Elephas maximus indicus: one gene and its partner. The protein of the gene in region 1 purifies or fractionates together with the protein of each later gene. This does not show direct contact. Links are inferred from orthologs where the notes say so. Each region holds a gene or a part of one and is shown in the gene's direction. Other genes may lie near its edges.

Region 1 (7,773 bases):
GCTGTAATCTTTTTTTTTTTTAATCTTTACGGAAGCAGACTGCCACATCTTTCTACTGCGGAGAGCTGGGGGGTTTGAAACGTCGACCTTTCGGTTAGCAGCCAAGTGCTTAACCACTGCACCACCATGGCTCTTTCTTTAACCATTACCCACCACCACTGCCGTCGAGTTGATTCCGACTCATAGCAACTACCAAAAAAAGAATCATCTTTTACAAAATCACTGGCTAATGATGGTTGTTGTACTATCATGAAATCAGTTTCTTCTTTACTTTTATTTCCAGAAGGTTTTAAGACTACTTTTCTTCATTATGGAAACCCTGGTGGTGTAGTGGTTAAGAGTTCAGCTGTTAACCAAAAGGACAGCAGCTCAAATCCACCAGGTGCTCCTTGGGAACTCTATGGGGCAGTTTTACTCTGTCCTACAGGGCATTGACTCGACAGCAACGAGTTTTCTTCATTATGACTGGTTACCTAATTCAGAGGAATTGGTTTTTCTCTGGAATATTATCCCTAAACATCTGGAGAGGCTACAATGCCACATTGGTGTATTTTCCCCGCTTCGTTTTACCTTTGGAGCCATTTTCCACTGGCAGCGGCAGTGGCAGCACACTGGGCTCTGCTTCCTTTCACAACTCTGGCGTGGCTGCCACAAAATGTGTGCTGTTTTAAGCTGCTAAGTTTGTGGTAATTTGTTATGTGGTAATAGAAAATTAATACACCATTAATGGTGTTATCAGGGTGGCAAAATTTGGGATTGGAGCTGAAGAAACAGCTGATTTATAAAAATTGTTGTACATGAAAGGGAAAAAAGAAAAGAAAAAGAACGAGAAATCAGTGGAAAGAGAAGAAATACGCAAAAGTACCTCCTTCAATGCCCAGCTCAGGCCTTCTCCCTCACCTTCCTTCCAGCCTGAAGTGATTGTTTTCTCCCCAGGTATTTTTAGACAGAAACATATATATATATATATATATATATATATATATATATATATATATATATATATATATATATGAATCAGAATTGACTCGATGGCAGTGGGTTTTGGTTTTGGTGTTTATATATATATATGTATATATATATATACATATATATATTTTATATATATATATACACATATATATGGTGCTTTAAGTGAAAAAAAATTTTTTTAAGTGAAAGTTTACAAATCAAGTCAGTCTCTCATACAAAAACTTATATACACCTTGGTCTCCCCCTAGTGTGACAGCACACTCCTCCCCTCCACCCTGTATTCCCTGTGTCCATTCAGTCAGCTCCTGTCCCCCTCTGCCTTCTCGTCTTGCCTCCAGACAGGAGTTGCCCACATAGGCTCATGTGTCTACATAAGCTAAGGAGCTCACTCTTCACCAGTATCATTTTTTATCCCATAGTCCAGTCCAATCCCTGTCTGAAGAGTTGGCTTCAGGAATGGTTCCAGTCTTGGGCTAACAAAGGGTCCAGAGACCATGACCTCCAGGATCCCTCTAGTCTCAGTCAGACCATTAAGCCTGGTCTTTTTACTAGAATTTGAAATCTGCATCCCACTGTTCCCTTGCTCCATCAGGGATTCTCTGTTGTGTTCCTTGTCAGGGCAGTCATTAGTGGTAGTTGGGCACCATCTGGTTCTTCCGGTCTCAGACGAATGTAGTCTGGTTTATGTGGCCCTTTCTATCTCTTGGGCTCATCTTTACCTTTGTCTTTGGTGTTCTTCATTCTCCTTTGCTCCAGGTGGATTGAGACCAATTGATGCATCCTAGATGGCCACTTGCTAGTGTTTAAGACCCCAGACGCCACTCACCAAAGTGGGATGCAGAAGGTTTTCTTAATACTTTCTGTTACACCAATTGACCTAGATGTCCCCTTAAACCATGGTCCCCAAAACCCTGTCCCTGCTACTCTGGCCTTTGAAGTGTTCAGCTGTATTCAGGAAACTTCTTTGCTTTTGGTTTAATCCAGTTGTGCTGACCTCGCCTATATTGTGTGTTTAGATAGAACATATTTTTTAAAAATAATTTATTTTTGTTGTTGTTGGGAATATATACAGCAGAACATACATGAATTTGACAATTTCTACATGTACAGTTCAGGGACATTGATCATATTCTTCGAGTTGTGCAACCATTCTCACCCTCCTTTTCTGAATTGTTCCTCTCCATTAGCATAAACTCACTGCCCCTTATAAGTTTCCTGTCTAATCTTTCAAGTTGCCAATTTGATCCCATATAGATAGAACTTAAAAATGCACAATACTCAAGGAAGACATTCTTTACTAGTTAAGTTAAACTGTTGTCTGATTTTAAGAAGGCTTCAGGGGATATTTTTGGCTTAAGGTTTAAAGGTTATCTTGGGGCAATAGTTTCAGAGGTTCACCCAACCTCCATGGTTCCAGAAAGTGTGGCATCTATGAGAATTTGAAAATCTGTTCTGTGTTTCCCCCCTTTTGATCAGGATTTTTCTATAGAATCTTTGATCAAAATGTTTAGTAATGATAGCCAGGCACCATCCAGTTCTTCTTGCCTCATGGCTAAGGAGGCAGTTGTTCATGGAGGCAATTAGCCACACACACAAGAACATATTTTATCACTTAAATAATATTCTCCTGTATTGTTCTCTAGTGGCTAGGCTTCAAGTTCCTTGAGGGCAAGGATCCTGTCTTGTTCATTTCTGTATCCCCCACACTGCCTTGCATACAGAGACTCTAGTAATTGTTATTTGATTGGCTGAAGAAGGTGTGTTTGTCTGATGACTAAGTCCTTCAAGCTAAACCCTCCAAATGCTATTCCTAGAAGGTACCTGGAATGAGATTGCTGAGATTCCAACAGAGTTTTTTTTTCTTGTTGTGCCCCTGTGAGCCCCACCATCCTGCTTTCCCTAGCAGCAAAATTGTATCATAATATCCTTTGACTCTTCTCTCAGGGTGGGGAGCCTTAGACCACAAGTTTCAACGGGCCAAATGCAGGGAGCATTACCTGGCATTTAACAACATAAAGCATTCTACTTAATTAGCTATCACCTGTTAATCAGTTAGACCCAAACATCTGCCAATAGAATTTGAGAAGTCTGTTCTAAAAGTTGAAAAACTGAGTTTATTCATCACAGATGGGGTACTTTTAGTGAGAGGGGAAAGAAAAAAAAAAAGATTTTACCAGTTAAATCCAATTAAGAGATTGGTGCCCGATTTTCAGGACAGTTTGTGCAGTCAGGAAACCCTGGTGGTGTAGTGGTTAAGTGCTAAGGCTGCTGACCAAAAGGTCGGCAGTTCAAGTCCACCAGGCGCTCCCTGGAAGCCCTACAGAGCAGTTCTACTCTATCCTATAGGGTCGCTGTGAGTCGGAATCGACTCGATGGCAGTGGGTTTGGTTTGTGCAGTTTGTCTTTTTCACTGCATGATGTGACTCCTGATTATGTGATGGAAGAAATGATCATGTTATGACTTTTCTCTGTGCTCCTATCCATAATTAAAAAGTTTGTGGACTGTCTGAAAGAAATTAAAGCAGAGCATTGAGGACTTTTTTGTTTTTTAATGTAGTAGTAAAAACTTTTTGAAGAAATTCACTGACCTGCTTTCTTAGACCAAGGACTTTTTGAAATAAAAGGACACTTAGAGATCCAAATCATGGCCTCTAGTGGCTTATACTAATTTCTTGCTAATGTGGCAAGCTGTCTTAAATCCTTTCTGAAACAAGATATGAGGTATAAATTAATACTAATGTGACAACATATCTGAACACGGACTTGAAACTGCAGTGGGATAATAAGAGCTGATTTGTTCAAGGAAGTGGAGGTAATTCAGACTCAAACTAGATGTGTGGTTTAGGCAGATGGGAAATGAATTCATTTATCTCTGTTGAACTGCTTCTGAGCTCAGTGGAATCTCAGATTGTGATGATTTGCAGAGCTATTTGGTGGAAATGAAGCCACAACTCAGAAGAGTCATGGATTTTGACGAATATGAGTCATTTAACATTTCAATGCCTGCCTTTGGAGTGCAAACCCTCAGGGTGTCCCTGAGTTATTAAGCATTAACATCTGCCCCATTAATGTGGGCAGAACTATCCTGAATACCAAAACGATTTTCAAATTTTGGGCTATATGACCAAAACCTGAGATGTTTGCATTCATTTGGCCCTGTGAAAAGTATCAGTCGTTTTCATCAATGTCTGGGGTCTGAATTAAGACGTGTTCAAATTGGAACCCCCTCCGCCATCATTTTGAAGAACAGTTCAGCTTTTAAATAAGATTATTTACATTTACTTGCTTAGAACTGATCCATGATTTGTAATCATCAGCCTTGTAACTATCCATTTTTTGTGTGAATAAACTTGATTAAATTTTTTAGACTCCTTTGGCATTTATGTTTAAAATCTACATCATTGGCGATACTTTACCACTTCGGAAAAAATTTATGCGGCAAATGTATGGGTTTTTTTAACCTTATGCTTCACTATAATAAAAAAACAAAACAAAACTTGGGCGCTCATGCCCTAGACAGTGTGCCCTAGACGCGAGTCAGGTTGACAGGGCTGCTCGCATGCGCTCTCGACACAATCGTGTTTGTCGCAATGGGCCCTACGCGGAAGGCTACATAAGAGCAAGCGACTTTGATTATAGTCATTTTGTCGTCTGTAGCGCCGGTTACCGCGCTACCTCCGCTCTGGTACTTGATTGTAACAGAAAGTAGTTCCGGCCCGTGTTGTTTCGGCCGAGGAGCCGTCGCCGCCATTTCAAGATCGTGAGAGGTAGATGGTCAACCAGAGTTCCTAAGGTTCGAAGCCTATGACGCCTGCCGCCGCTTAAGACTCACAGGACACCAGTACAGCTCCTGCTCTCTTACCACTACCTCCAGAAACATTGTTGCCACTAGCGGCGGCGGCGGGACTCAATTACCCCCTCCTCGCTCTCCCCCAAGAAGCTCCAGATGGCGTCTTCCGTGGGCAACGTGGCCGACAGCACAGGTATCGGTGTCCAGTTCTATCTTAGCAGACGCCGCTTCGGGGTCTCGCGCCGTTCTCTGCCTCTCACCGCCCCCTCCCTTCCCTCTAGCCGCCCCCATTACATCAGTGGCATTGCTGAGCTGTTCGTGTTCTACCGGCATCTGGTCGGTGTTTCCTCTGTCTTGCCTTTCTCAAGCATTTATCTCTTTCATTCTTTCTGCTTTTTGCGTCCTTTCTGGCTTCTCAATGTGTGTGTTCTCGCGTTCTACTCGGAACGCTTCTAGCACACGTGCGCGCTAAGAATGGACTGCATTGGAATCCCTGCCCTTTCACTCTTCGTTCACTACCGTTCTCTGTCCGAAACCAGTTCACCGCCCTCTCCTCTTCTCTCTCCACAGCCCCCTCCAACCCTTCCGCCTTAGCCAGGTTTGGTTCTTTGTCAATCTAGGGCGGGGGTGCCATTCCGGTGTAATCATATCCCCGCTTTGCATCACCCAAAGACGAGCAGAAGCTCGCCGGTTGCTGCAAGGAACCTGAGAAGTGGGGACATTGGGCAAGCACCCCGCTGGGCAGCGCCTTTCTAGTGTTCTTTCGGTTGAGTGGCCCGGGTTTGGATTGGAAATTTCCAGGGGTTCGCTTTGCCGTCGCCCAATTCCGCATGCTGCCGCTGGCCCGGACTTCCCACCCTACTCTCCTTTCCCTCTCGCGGGGTACCACGCCCTTTCCTTCCAGAGGTTGTAAGCTTTGTGGTCCAGTTCCTACCCCTGTGGGACAAACCAGCCTGGTGCGCTTTTTTCGCACTGACCATCCTGCTTTCAGAATTTTCGCTTTGTGTTACTTTCTCAATGTATTCCTCCGCCGCCGCCTCTGGGTCTTCCATCCCCATCCTATAGCCCAGAGTCTCTTTTTTTCATAGGGTGTATGTATTTTTAAGTTTCATCCCTGCTTGAAGAGTTTGTAAAGCAACTGGAGTGTAGCTGCACAAGTGCAAGGCGGTTGCCCTTTTAGACAATTCAGTCGAAAGCATTTGGTACACGAACAACAAAAAAAAAACCCAACCAAATTCTAGGGGTTTCCTTTAGCTGCTTTTCCATATTGAGGCTGTTTGGGGCAGGGAGGGAGGGGGGATTGAGCGGTGGTTCTAAGGTTTCCTACGAGGTTTTTTTTTTGTTTGTTTATTGGTTGAAATGTGTCAAAGGTTTTTTATTTGTTATTTTTGGACATTGTGCTGTAAGTAATAGGTGAATCTTCAATAGTCTCTTATCCATAATTATAGGTGGTGGGATTAATAATTAGTCAGTGGTCCCCTCCTCCTTGCCCCATAGTGATTTTTAAAGGTTTAAGATTCTGGTTATGTACTAGCTTGCCCTTTTCTGAGTGTGTTATTTTATTAGAGGAAGTGTTATAATAGCAGATAAGCAACTTTGAAAAGTGACAAAGTAATGTGTTAAAATAAGGAGCTAGGAAGCTCTGAAGAATTATTTAAAATGTAATCTTGTAGTTTCTACTAGAGAGGTAAACTCCCCCAGATTTGGATGCAAGTCCCTCTGCTCTTTGTGTTCGTGGTCAGCTGTGCATTCCAGTCAGAAAATTTACTTGCTTTCCAGAACACACACCAGCTTGAACGATTGGGGTGCTAGGCTCAAATTTGAGTTTGTCACTGTGACCTTGGTAGAGTTTAAATAATTTGTCCGTGGTTTCCCATTTCAACCATCTAGATAGATCTAGGCATGTTGTTTGTTAAAGTGCCATGGTCAGATTCCCAGTAACGCATTACTGTTCAAATAAGCATTTGAGATTGAGACTTGGGCAGTTTGCTAGGTCCCCCCACTCCCCCCGAAGGCCCGGTGGCGCAGCGGTTAAGTGCTTGGCTGCTAACCAAAAGTTTGGCAGTTCGAATCCACCAGCTGCTCCTTGGAAACCCTATGGGACAGTACTGCTCTGTCCTGTAGGGCCACTATGAGTCGGAATTGGAATTGACTCCACGGCAACTGGTTTGGTTTGGTTTTTGGGGGGCTTTAGCCATTTTTTTAGCCATATCCTCTATCTTTCTGTATCTGAATTAAGTCACACATAGCAAAGTTTTTTTTATTTGGTATTCATTTCTTGTTGAACTTTATCAGATGTTTTATATTAGCATTTTCCTTTTTTTTTTTTTTAAACCATTACAGTTGTAGGTAACTGCTTGGTTTATATAGGGTTGTTTTCAGTGTCTTAATTCTTCAGTGCCAGAGCTCTTTGGAAAATGCTAGTGTTAAAACAGCGTGGGTGGGGCTTAGCTAATTTAGTATCCTTGTGAGTTTTGGGATGGTAGAAGAGCAATATAATCTTGGGTCTTTATTTAAATTGTTGGATGACCCCTTTAAATATTTTGGCTCTTGACAGATGTATTTATCTTGTTTATCAGCTGTTTTAAAAATAGCACTTTGACTTCTAGTTTTTTTCCTTATGTTCAGTTTCTAGAGTCACCCTTTAAAAAAATTAAATTGCGAAATATAGAAACATTAATATAAAGAGTAAAAACACACCCAGGTAAAGAGATACATTGTTACTAGTACACCTCCCCCACCCTGCAAATCCAACCTAAAGCCATTATGTTTCCCAGTAGGTTATTTGACATTAGTAAGTCTTTGTGACCTTGCAAATCACACGTTTTATGTTTTGTTTCTGGATGTTAACTAAGGGCTAAGGAATAACGTTCATTGCATCTTTAGATGTTACCTATGATTTATAATTTAAAAGTACTTTTAATCATAAAAACTGTAATATTGGAAAGTAAATAATTCCTATCTAGTTTGGGAAGGAAAGTATTAATGGGTGAAATCTAAGATGCTAATTC
Region 2 (7,791 bases), on another chromosome or scaffold:
TTCGCCTTTCTCCTTCCCTCCTGCTCCTGGTAACCACTAATAAACTGTAGTCTCTATACATTTGTCTTTTTATATAAATGAGTTCATACAGTATTTGTTCTTTTGTGACTGACTTATTTCACTCCACATAATGGCCTGAAGCTCCACCTATGTTGTAGCATTGTCAGAATGGGGTGGTGGGGGCATCTGACCTCCTCTAACCTCACGAGGGGAAGGAGACTCATTATCAGCATCAGCAGTCCAAGGCTAATTCCCATGAGACGCAGGTCAGACAAACCTCTGTTTCCAATCGTTTTACCAATTCTGACACCAGCCTTCCTTCCCACAGCACTCTCTACCTCTCTGCTGGGTTTGATAATTCATTGTAAAGGCCACACAGAACTCACAGACAATACTTACAATTATGGGATTTATTAGGGGGGTAACAGGTTACAGTTCAGGATCAGGAATGACTCAGGATACAGTTCTTCCATCAGGACAGCTTCTTCCCAACTGTGCCCACAGACAGGCCACTCTCTGGCCCTCAGCCCCTCAGACTCTCAACCTCACCTCTACCCTGCTCAGGCAAGTGTTACAAAGCTTTTTAGTTCTACCAGTAAGTGCCCAGAGGCACCCCACCCTGCCAGTAAATCTCAGCCCAAAGGTACTCAGCTCTCTAGCTCTGTGGGTCAGTAAGCCTAGCTCCGACGACAAGTACCCAGAGGAACCCTACTTTGCCAGTAAGCCTCCTGGCTGAAGACACTTATCTCTCTCACTGTGTAGGTTGGCGCACTGACTGTAACTGCCTTGCTCCCTGGGCCAAGAAGCCCATTGTGCCATCTCACGCAGGTCTCCTGGTTCTGCTGCTGCCGTTTTTCTGCTGCTGCTTCTCACAGCCTTGAGCCATCTTCAGTGTTATAGCTCTCTCTTTCTGTCTCCTGGGTCTAGGAGGCTGTAAGTGTGGGGAACCTGGGTTCAAAAGGACGTGCTCTGCTTCCATCTCTTCTTGGTGGTAGTGAGGTGCCCTTTTCTGCCTCTGAGATGGCTCATTTTAAGCCCAGTGGGATGGCAAAATCAACCAATCCTCTTGTTAGTGTTCCATACACCTTATTTGCATGTTCCCACCCCAACAAGGTTGCCATTCATCTTATTTGCATTATTAGCAAGTTGTCCAATCCCCTTGGTGAATCACAAGCACCTTATTTTAATAGTCCAACCCAATCGTTTTGTAGGAGTTACAAGACCATGGCGGGAAAGGCTACAAAAAAGAGATCCATCATACCACAAGCATATATCAGGACATCCTTTTTCTTTCTGGTTGAGTAGTGTTATGAATTGAATTGTGTCCCCCTCAAAATGTGTGTCAACTTGGTTAGGTCATAATTTTCAGTATTGTGTGATTGTCTACGATTTTGTCATTGATGATTTTCCTATGTGTTGTAAGTCCTACCTCTATGATGTTAATGTGTCAGGTTTAGAGGCAGTTATATTAGCGAGGCAGAACTCAAGCTACTAGATTAGCTTGTGTTTTGAGTCAATCTCCTTTGAGATATAGAAGAGAGAAGGAAGCAGAGACGTAGGGGGATCTCATACCACCAAGAAAGTAGTGCCAGAAGCAGAGTGTGTCCTTTGGACCCAGGACCAGTCCACTGAGAAGCTCCTAGACCAGGGGAAGATTGATGACCAGGACCTTCCCCAGAACCAACAGAGAGAGCCTTCCCCTAGTGCTGAAACTGAATTTCTAGCCTCCTAAACTGTGGTTAAGAGCTCAGGTTGCTAACCAAAAGGTTGGGAGTTTGGATTCACCAGCCACTCCTTGGAAACTCTATTGGGCAGTTCTACTCTGTCCTACAGGTTTTCTATGAGTCAGTATCAATTTGATGGCAATGGGTAAACTGTGAGAGAATGAATTTCTCTTTGTTAAAGCCATCCACTTGTGGTCTTTCTGTTACAGCAGCACTAGATGACAAAGACAAGTAATAACCCATAGTATGCATGTATTACATTTTGTTTATCCATTCATTCATTGATGGACATTTAGGTTGTCTCCACCTTTTGGCTATTGTGAATAGTGCTGCAGTGAACACTGGTTTACATCTCTTCCAGTGGCTGCTTTCAAGTCCCTTGTGTATATTCTCAGCAGTTGGATTGCTGAGTCATATGGTAGCTCTATTTCTTTTTTTTAATGAATATTGTACCCAATTTAAGTAAAAAAAAAAAAAAACCTTTACAGGAGAGAATATTAAAAACCTGTAGACATCGAGTCAATTTCAACTCATAGGATAGAGTAGAACTACCCCATAGGGTTTCCGAGGAGTGGCTGATGAATTCAAACTGCTAACCTTTTGGTTAGCAGTCACGCTCTTAACCACTGTGCCCCCAAGGCTCCAAGAGAATATTGGGAGACCCCAACTAAACTAGAAAATCAAAGTGGACATCTGCAGCCTATGGCAGTAGGGGTGGAGGGGAGGACTTGGTGACATTGGCTGACTGTGACTTCAAAATCTACTTCTGATCTGGCCACTTCTCACTAGGACCCACACTCATCATCATTTAAGGTCTTCCATCATTGCTCATGAATGATTCTGAGGGTAAGAACAACCAAAACCTAGCCTGTTGTCATTGAGTAAATTCTAACTGGTAGTGACCCTCTAGGACAGAGTAGAATTGCCCCATGGGGTTTCCAAGGCTGTAAATCTTTTATTTATTTATGATTTTTATTGTGCTTTAAGGTAAGTTTACAAATCAAGTCAGTCTCTCATACAAAAATTTATATACACCTTGCTATGTATTCCTAGTTGCTCTCCCCCTAATGAGTCAGCACACGCCTTCTCTCCACCCTGTATTCCCTGTGTCCATTCAGCCAGCTTTTGTCCCCCTCTGCCTTCCCATCTCCCCTCCAGACAGGAGCTGCCCACATAGTCTCATGTGTCTACTTGAGCCAAGAAGCTCACTCCTCACTAGTATCATTTTCTATCTTATAGTCCAGTCCAATTCCTGTCTGAAGAGTTGGCTTTGGGAATGGTTCCAGTCTTGGGCTAACAGAAGGTCTGGGGACCATGGCCTCTGGGGTCCTTCCAGTCTCAGTCAGACCATTAAGTCTGGTCTTTTTACGAGAATTTGAGGTCTGCATCCCACAGTTCTCCTGCTCCATCAGGGATTCTCTGTTGTGCTCCCTATCAGGGCAGTCATCAGTTATAGCTGGGCACCATCTAGTTCTTCTGGTCTCAGGCTGATGTAGTCTCTGATTTATGTGGCCTTTTCTTTTTTTCTCCAAGGCTGTAAATCGTTATGGAAGCAGACTGCCATATCTTTCTCCTGTGGAGCACCTGGTGAGCTCTGTGTGAGTGCACCCTAAAAATCTAAGGTGCTTGGCATAACTAAGGTGGCTGACACAGGTTTGAATCAGACTCTATTTTGCTTCTAACCTTCACTTCTGCTTTTAGATTGTGGATGGAATTTTCCACTTTTGTAAAGTTTTAACTACCCTACTTGAGCAGTCAAGGAGGGAGCAAGAATGTGGTTAAACATATGGCAAAATGTTACCTAAAGAGGGGGTCTTGTGACTGTACTTTGAAAGATTGCTTGTGCAGATCTTTCTCAGAAAGAATGTTAAAATAGATAAGCTGATGTCAAGATTTGTTCATTGCTCTAAACTGTATGTAAAAATCCCTCTCTACATAACCCCTCTGCAGCACTTTGCACTTGCTTTGTGCTGCCTGTTTTGAACCGTTCTAGTCCTCAATAAAACTATTGTTCTCTTGTGGCACAGTGAATTATTTAGTATGGCCCTTCTAGCCGTAGTTTTTGGAGCTCTCACCAAATGACAGGGTGGGACTATGTAAATGAGGTGCTTGTGTCCCACCAAAGGAATTGGATAGCTTGCTAATAATGTAAATAATGTGCATGGCACCCTTGTGTAGGTGGGATCATGCAAATAAGGTATATGGCACCCTAATGAGAGAATTGGTCAATTTTGCCATCCCTCTAGGCTTAAAATGAGCCATCCCAGAGGCAAGAAGAGAAGATCTCAACACCACCAAGAAAGAAGAGCCAGGAGCAGAGGCTATTTTTTGGATCCAGGATCCCTGAGCTGAGAACTTCCTACATCCAGGAGACAGAAAGGAGCTGTAACATGGAAGACAGTGAGAGACTTGCAAGATGGCAGAAATTAGGAGACCAGCGCAAGAAGGCTGCAGTGGGGCTTCCCAGCCAAAGGAGCTAGAGCTGAACACGGTGAGGCACAAGGCTTATTGGCAGAGTGGGGTGCCCCCCGGGCATTTATCAACAGAGCTAAAAGAGTTTGTAACACTCGCCTGAGCAGAGCAAAAGCCAAAGGACCAGCAAGAGGCCAAGAGGTTGGAGAGGCCAAGAGTCTGAGGGGCCAGAGAGTCTGAAATGAGGCTGTCCTTATGGAAGAACTGTGTCCTGAGCATTCAAGAGCCTGAATTGTAATCGGTTACTTCCCTAATAAACACCATAAGCGTGAGTATTGTCTGCGAGTTCTGTGTGGTCATTGCAACAAGTTATCAAACCCAAAGAGAAGTAAAGAGTGTCCTGGGAGGGGACAGTTGGTGTCAGAATTGGTAAAAAGGTTGGAGGGTGGAGGCATGTCAGACTTCCACCTCGTAGGAATCAGTCTTAGCTTGTTCCTATTGGTTCTCCTCCCTTGTGAATGTAGAGGTCAGACACCTCCCCCGCCCCGCCCACAAGGGGGTTACGTCTCTATTTACAGATCATGCTCAATTTTAAGCTTTGACAGCCGAACTGCTGACATTTAGGTTAGCAGTCGAGCGCTTTAACCACTGCGCCACCAGGGCGAGGCTGTTCCTGTAAAAACAGCAAAGGCCCAGAGGCTGACCCGCGCCTGGCTAATTTGAGGAATAGTGAGGAAGCGTGAAGAAGAAAATTTCTGTGAGGTGAAGTCAGAGATGTAACGGGGAGGACTGACTGCCTTCCTAACGCGATCCATATAACCTGTTGGCTCCCCATTAACGCATGTGGAAAGGAAAAGTGATTGAGTGGAGGAATGAATGAAAGGTTTCATCTGATCCGTTTCCTCAGAGGCCGCTTGGCCACTGCACTACAAACAGTCGTTGTACGGAGTCAACTGTCAACATGGCGGCGCCTTTGCGGTAGCCACAACTAGGGCGCTGCCATGGTGCCTGTGACTTTATGAACTCGGCCAGGTTACGGAATCAGACTCCAAGATGACAGCGGCTTCATGGAATTCGCGCAGTAGGTGAGGCCATATTGCTTGTTAACGTCGATACAGTACAGGCGGTCAGCGTACGGATTCGACCGACAAGGTGGCAGCCCCCAGAGGAAAGCTGCCATACAGGCGCTGCCATGTTTCACGGGAACTTACGGACTCGGTCGCCTTACGGACTCGATAGTCAAGATGGCGGCTCCTAAGAGCCATTCAGGGCTCTAGGCGGGCGTATAGCTTGTTTGCCGCGGAGCCGCCGTACGGAGCCTGCGCAATAGGGTACGGTGCCCGGTTGGCGCGACCAGAAGCGGAAGTGGTTCTAGTCGCCTTTGCAACGGCCGCGGACGCCGCGGAGTGGTCTGTGCAGGTTACCTTGTCGCTGGCCGAGGTTGCGAGCGGGTGCTTGGGAATTGGAGATATGGTGAGTACCAGTCCAGGGAGTTCTGCGGTAGAGGTCGGTGAGGTTCGTAATGGTGAAGTCCGACGACAGACGCATGGGAGTTTGTGGTGAGCTATAACAGGAGCCTGTGGGCGGAATGATGGGGGGGTCTGTGGTGAGCCTCAGAGGGTCCTTTGGGAAGAACGACGGAGGTCTGTGGTGAGCCATGATGAAAGTACTGTGAGGGGCCAGAAGGGGGTCCATAATGGGAGGTTAGTGGGGATCACTGATGGCGGTTCTGTGGAGAACCGTGATGAGGGGTTCTTTGGACAGAGTGATAAAGAGTTTGTGATGAGCCGTGTCGGACGGTCTGTAGTGCGGCGTGAGGAGGGTGTGTGGAGTAAATAGTGGGAAATCTGTGGAGAACAATGATGAGGAGTTTGTGTGGTAAATCACGGGGTGTCTGTGAGAACCCGTGGTGGAAGTCTGTGGGGAGCCACGGAGGAGGCAGTATATGGCGAGTACTAGGATGTTTGTGATGAGCCTTTATGAGGGTTTGTGTTTAAAGTCATGGGGTGTCAGTGGCATGAGTGATGGGAGGTCTGGGGTAGAATAAAAAGGGTCTATAGGCAGTAATGAGGTGTTACGGGGGGGTCTGTAAGGACCATGCTGCTGTTGTCAGGTGCTGTCAAGTCGGTTCTAATAGTGACCTTATGTACAACAGAACAAAATCCTGCCTGGTCTATAAGGACCATAGTGGAGAAACTTATGGGGAGGCATGATGGTAGTTCTCAGCAAAGCCATGGGTATCTGTGGCGAGGCATGATAAGAGTTGTAATGAGGGGGAGTGGTGCCATTTTGGGGGTTCTCTGAGGAGTCATAATGGGGGATCCCACAGGAGGGGGACGGTTCAGACCCAGAGCCACCAGATGCTGGGGAGGATAGCAAGTCGGAGAATGGGGAGAATGCGCCCATCTACTGCATCTGCCGCAAGCCAGACATCAACTGCTTCATGATGTGAGCCGGGGAGACGCGGGTGGGGTTGATACCTGGCAGGGTTGGGTGATGCTGATGGGGCCTGGGCCCTCACTTCTCCACCACCCGCCCCATCCTCTGCAGCGGGTGTGACAACTGCAATGAGTGGTTTCATGGGGACTGCATCCGGATCACTGAGAAGATGGCCAAAGCCATCCGGGAGTGGTACTGTCGGGAGTGCCGAGGTGAGGGGGAGGTGGGATAGACAGGGCAGGCAGGTGGAGCTTCAAAGGGCGAGGAAGAGGAGGAGGGAACCACAATGGGAGGGGGGTGTGGGAAATAATGATGATGTGTCTGGGGGCAGAGCAATTGTTGGTCCGTGGTGAGCTGGAACTGGGGCTCCATCGTGAGCCACAATAGAGGGTCCTGCAAGAGGGAGCAGCTTTGCCCTGGAGCAGGGGGATGGAGCGGGTGGGTGGTATGGGAAGGAAAGGAAAATAAAGAGTTCCGGGACCATCCAAACCACCCCCAATACTGAACTGCCAGTGGCCCCATCCTCCCCCCGACAGAGAAGGACCCCAAACTGGAGATCCGCTACCGGCACAAGAAGTCACGGGAGCGGGACGGCAGTGAGCGGGACAGCAGTGAGCCCCGGGATGAGGGTGGAGGGCGCAAGAGGCCTGCCCCGGATCCAGACCTGCAGCGCCGGGTGGGGTCTGGGACAGGGGTCGGGGCCATTCTTGCTCGGGGCTCTGCTTCACCCCACAAAGCCTCTCCACAGCCCTTGGTGCCCACACCCAGCCAGGTGAGTGACTTTGGTGGTTGGGATGGATAGGATGGTTCCATCCTGCACCCTGTATGGGTTCCTGATTCATTCCTGTCATCTTCCCCAGCATCACCAGCAGCAGCAACAGATCAAACGGTCAGCCCGCATGTGCGGTGAGTGTGAGGCGTGCCGGCGTACTGAAGACTGTGGCCACTGTGACTTCTGCCGGGACATGAAGAAGTTTGGAGGCCCCAACAAGATCCGGCAGAAGTGCCGGCTACGCCAGTGCCAGCTTCGGGCCCGGGTGAGCATGGGTGGAGTTGGGCAGGGTCAGGTGGGGTGGGGACATTGTGTCCAGGAGCGGCTGGTTCAGTTTATGCATGGGTGGATTGGGTTGTATCCAGGCAGGTGGGAAGGGGCCTGACACGTCCAGATAGATGGGGCATAACCAGATGTATTGGACTGGCAGGAGATCCCATAGCC

What was found. The genes of interacting proteins can lie anywhere in the genome.
Region 2: the proteins of OGT (region 1) and CXXC1 purify together in Homo sapiens (affinity purification with mass spectrometry; 3 studies listed by BioGRID and IntAct, with this or other methods). This does not show direct contact. The link is inferred for Elephas maximus indicus from reciprocal best matches to the Homo sapiens genes OGT and CXXC1.

The regions. Positions count from the first base shown.
Region 1 is NC_064846.1:98,167,397-98,175,169, reverse strand, and holds the start of OGT (UDP-N-acetylglucosamine--peptide N-acetylglucosaminyltransferase 110 kDa subunit), read left to right. Parts: upstream 1-4,686; 5' UTR 4,687-4,918; coding exon 4,919-4,955; intron 4,956-7,773. UniProt on the Homo sapiens protein: Catalyzes the transfer of a single N-acetylglucosamine from UDP-GlcNAc to a serine or threonine residue in cytoplasmic and nuclear proteins resulting in their modification with a beta-linked N-acetylglucosamine (O-GlcNAc).
Region 2 is NC_064829.1:58,942,643-58,950,433, reverse strand, and holds the start of CXXC1 (CXXC-type zinc finger protein 1), read left to right. Parts: upstream 1-4,733; 5' UTR 4,734-5,606; coding exon 5,607-5,609; exon of another isoform or gene 5,610-5,695; intron 5,696-6,465; coding exon 6,466-6,584; intron 6,585-6,686; coding exon 6,687-6,787; intron 6,788-7,111; coding exon 7,112-7,347; intron 7,348-7,435; coding exon 7,436-7,612; intron 7,613-7,791. UniProt on the Homo sapiens protein: Transcriptional activator that exhibits a unique DNA binding specificity for CpG unmethylated motifs with a preference for CpGG.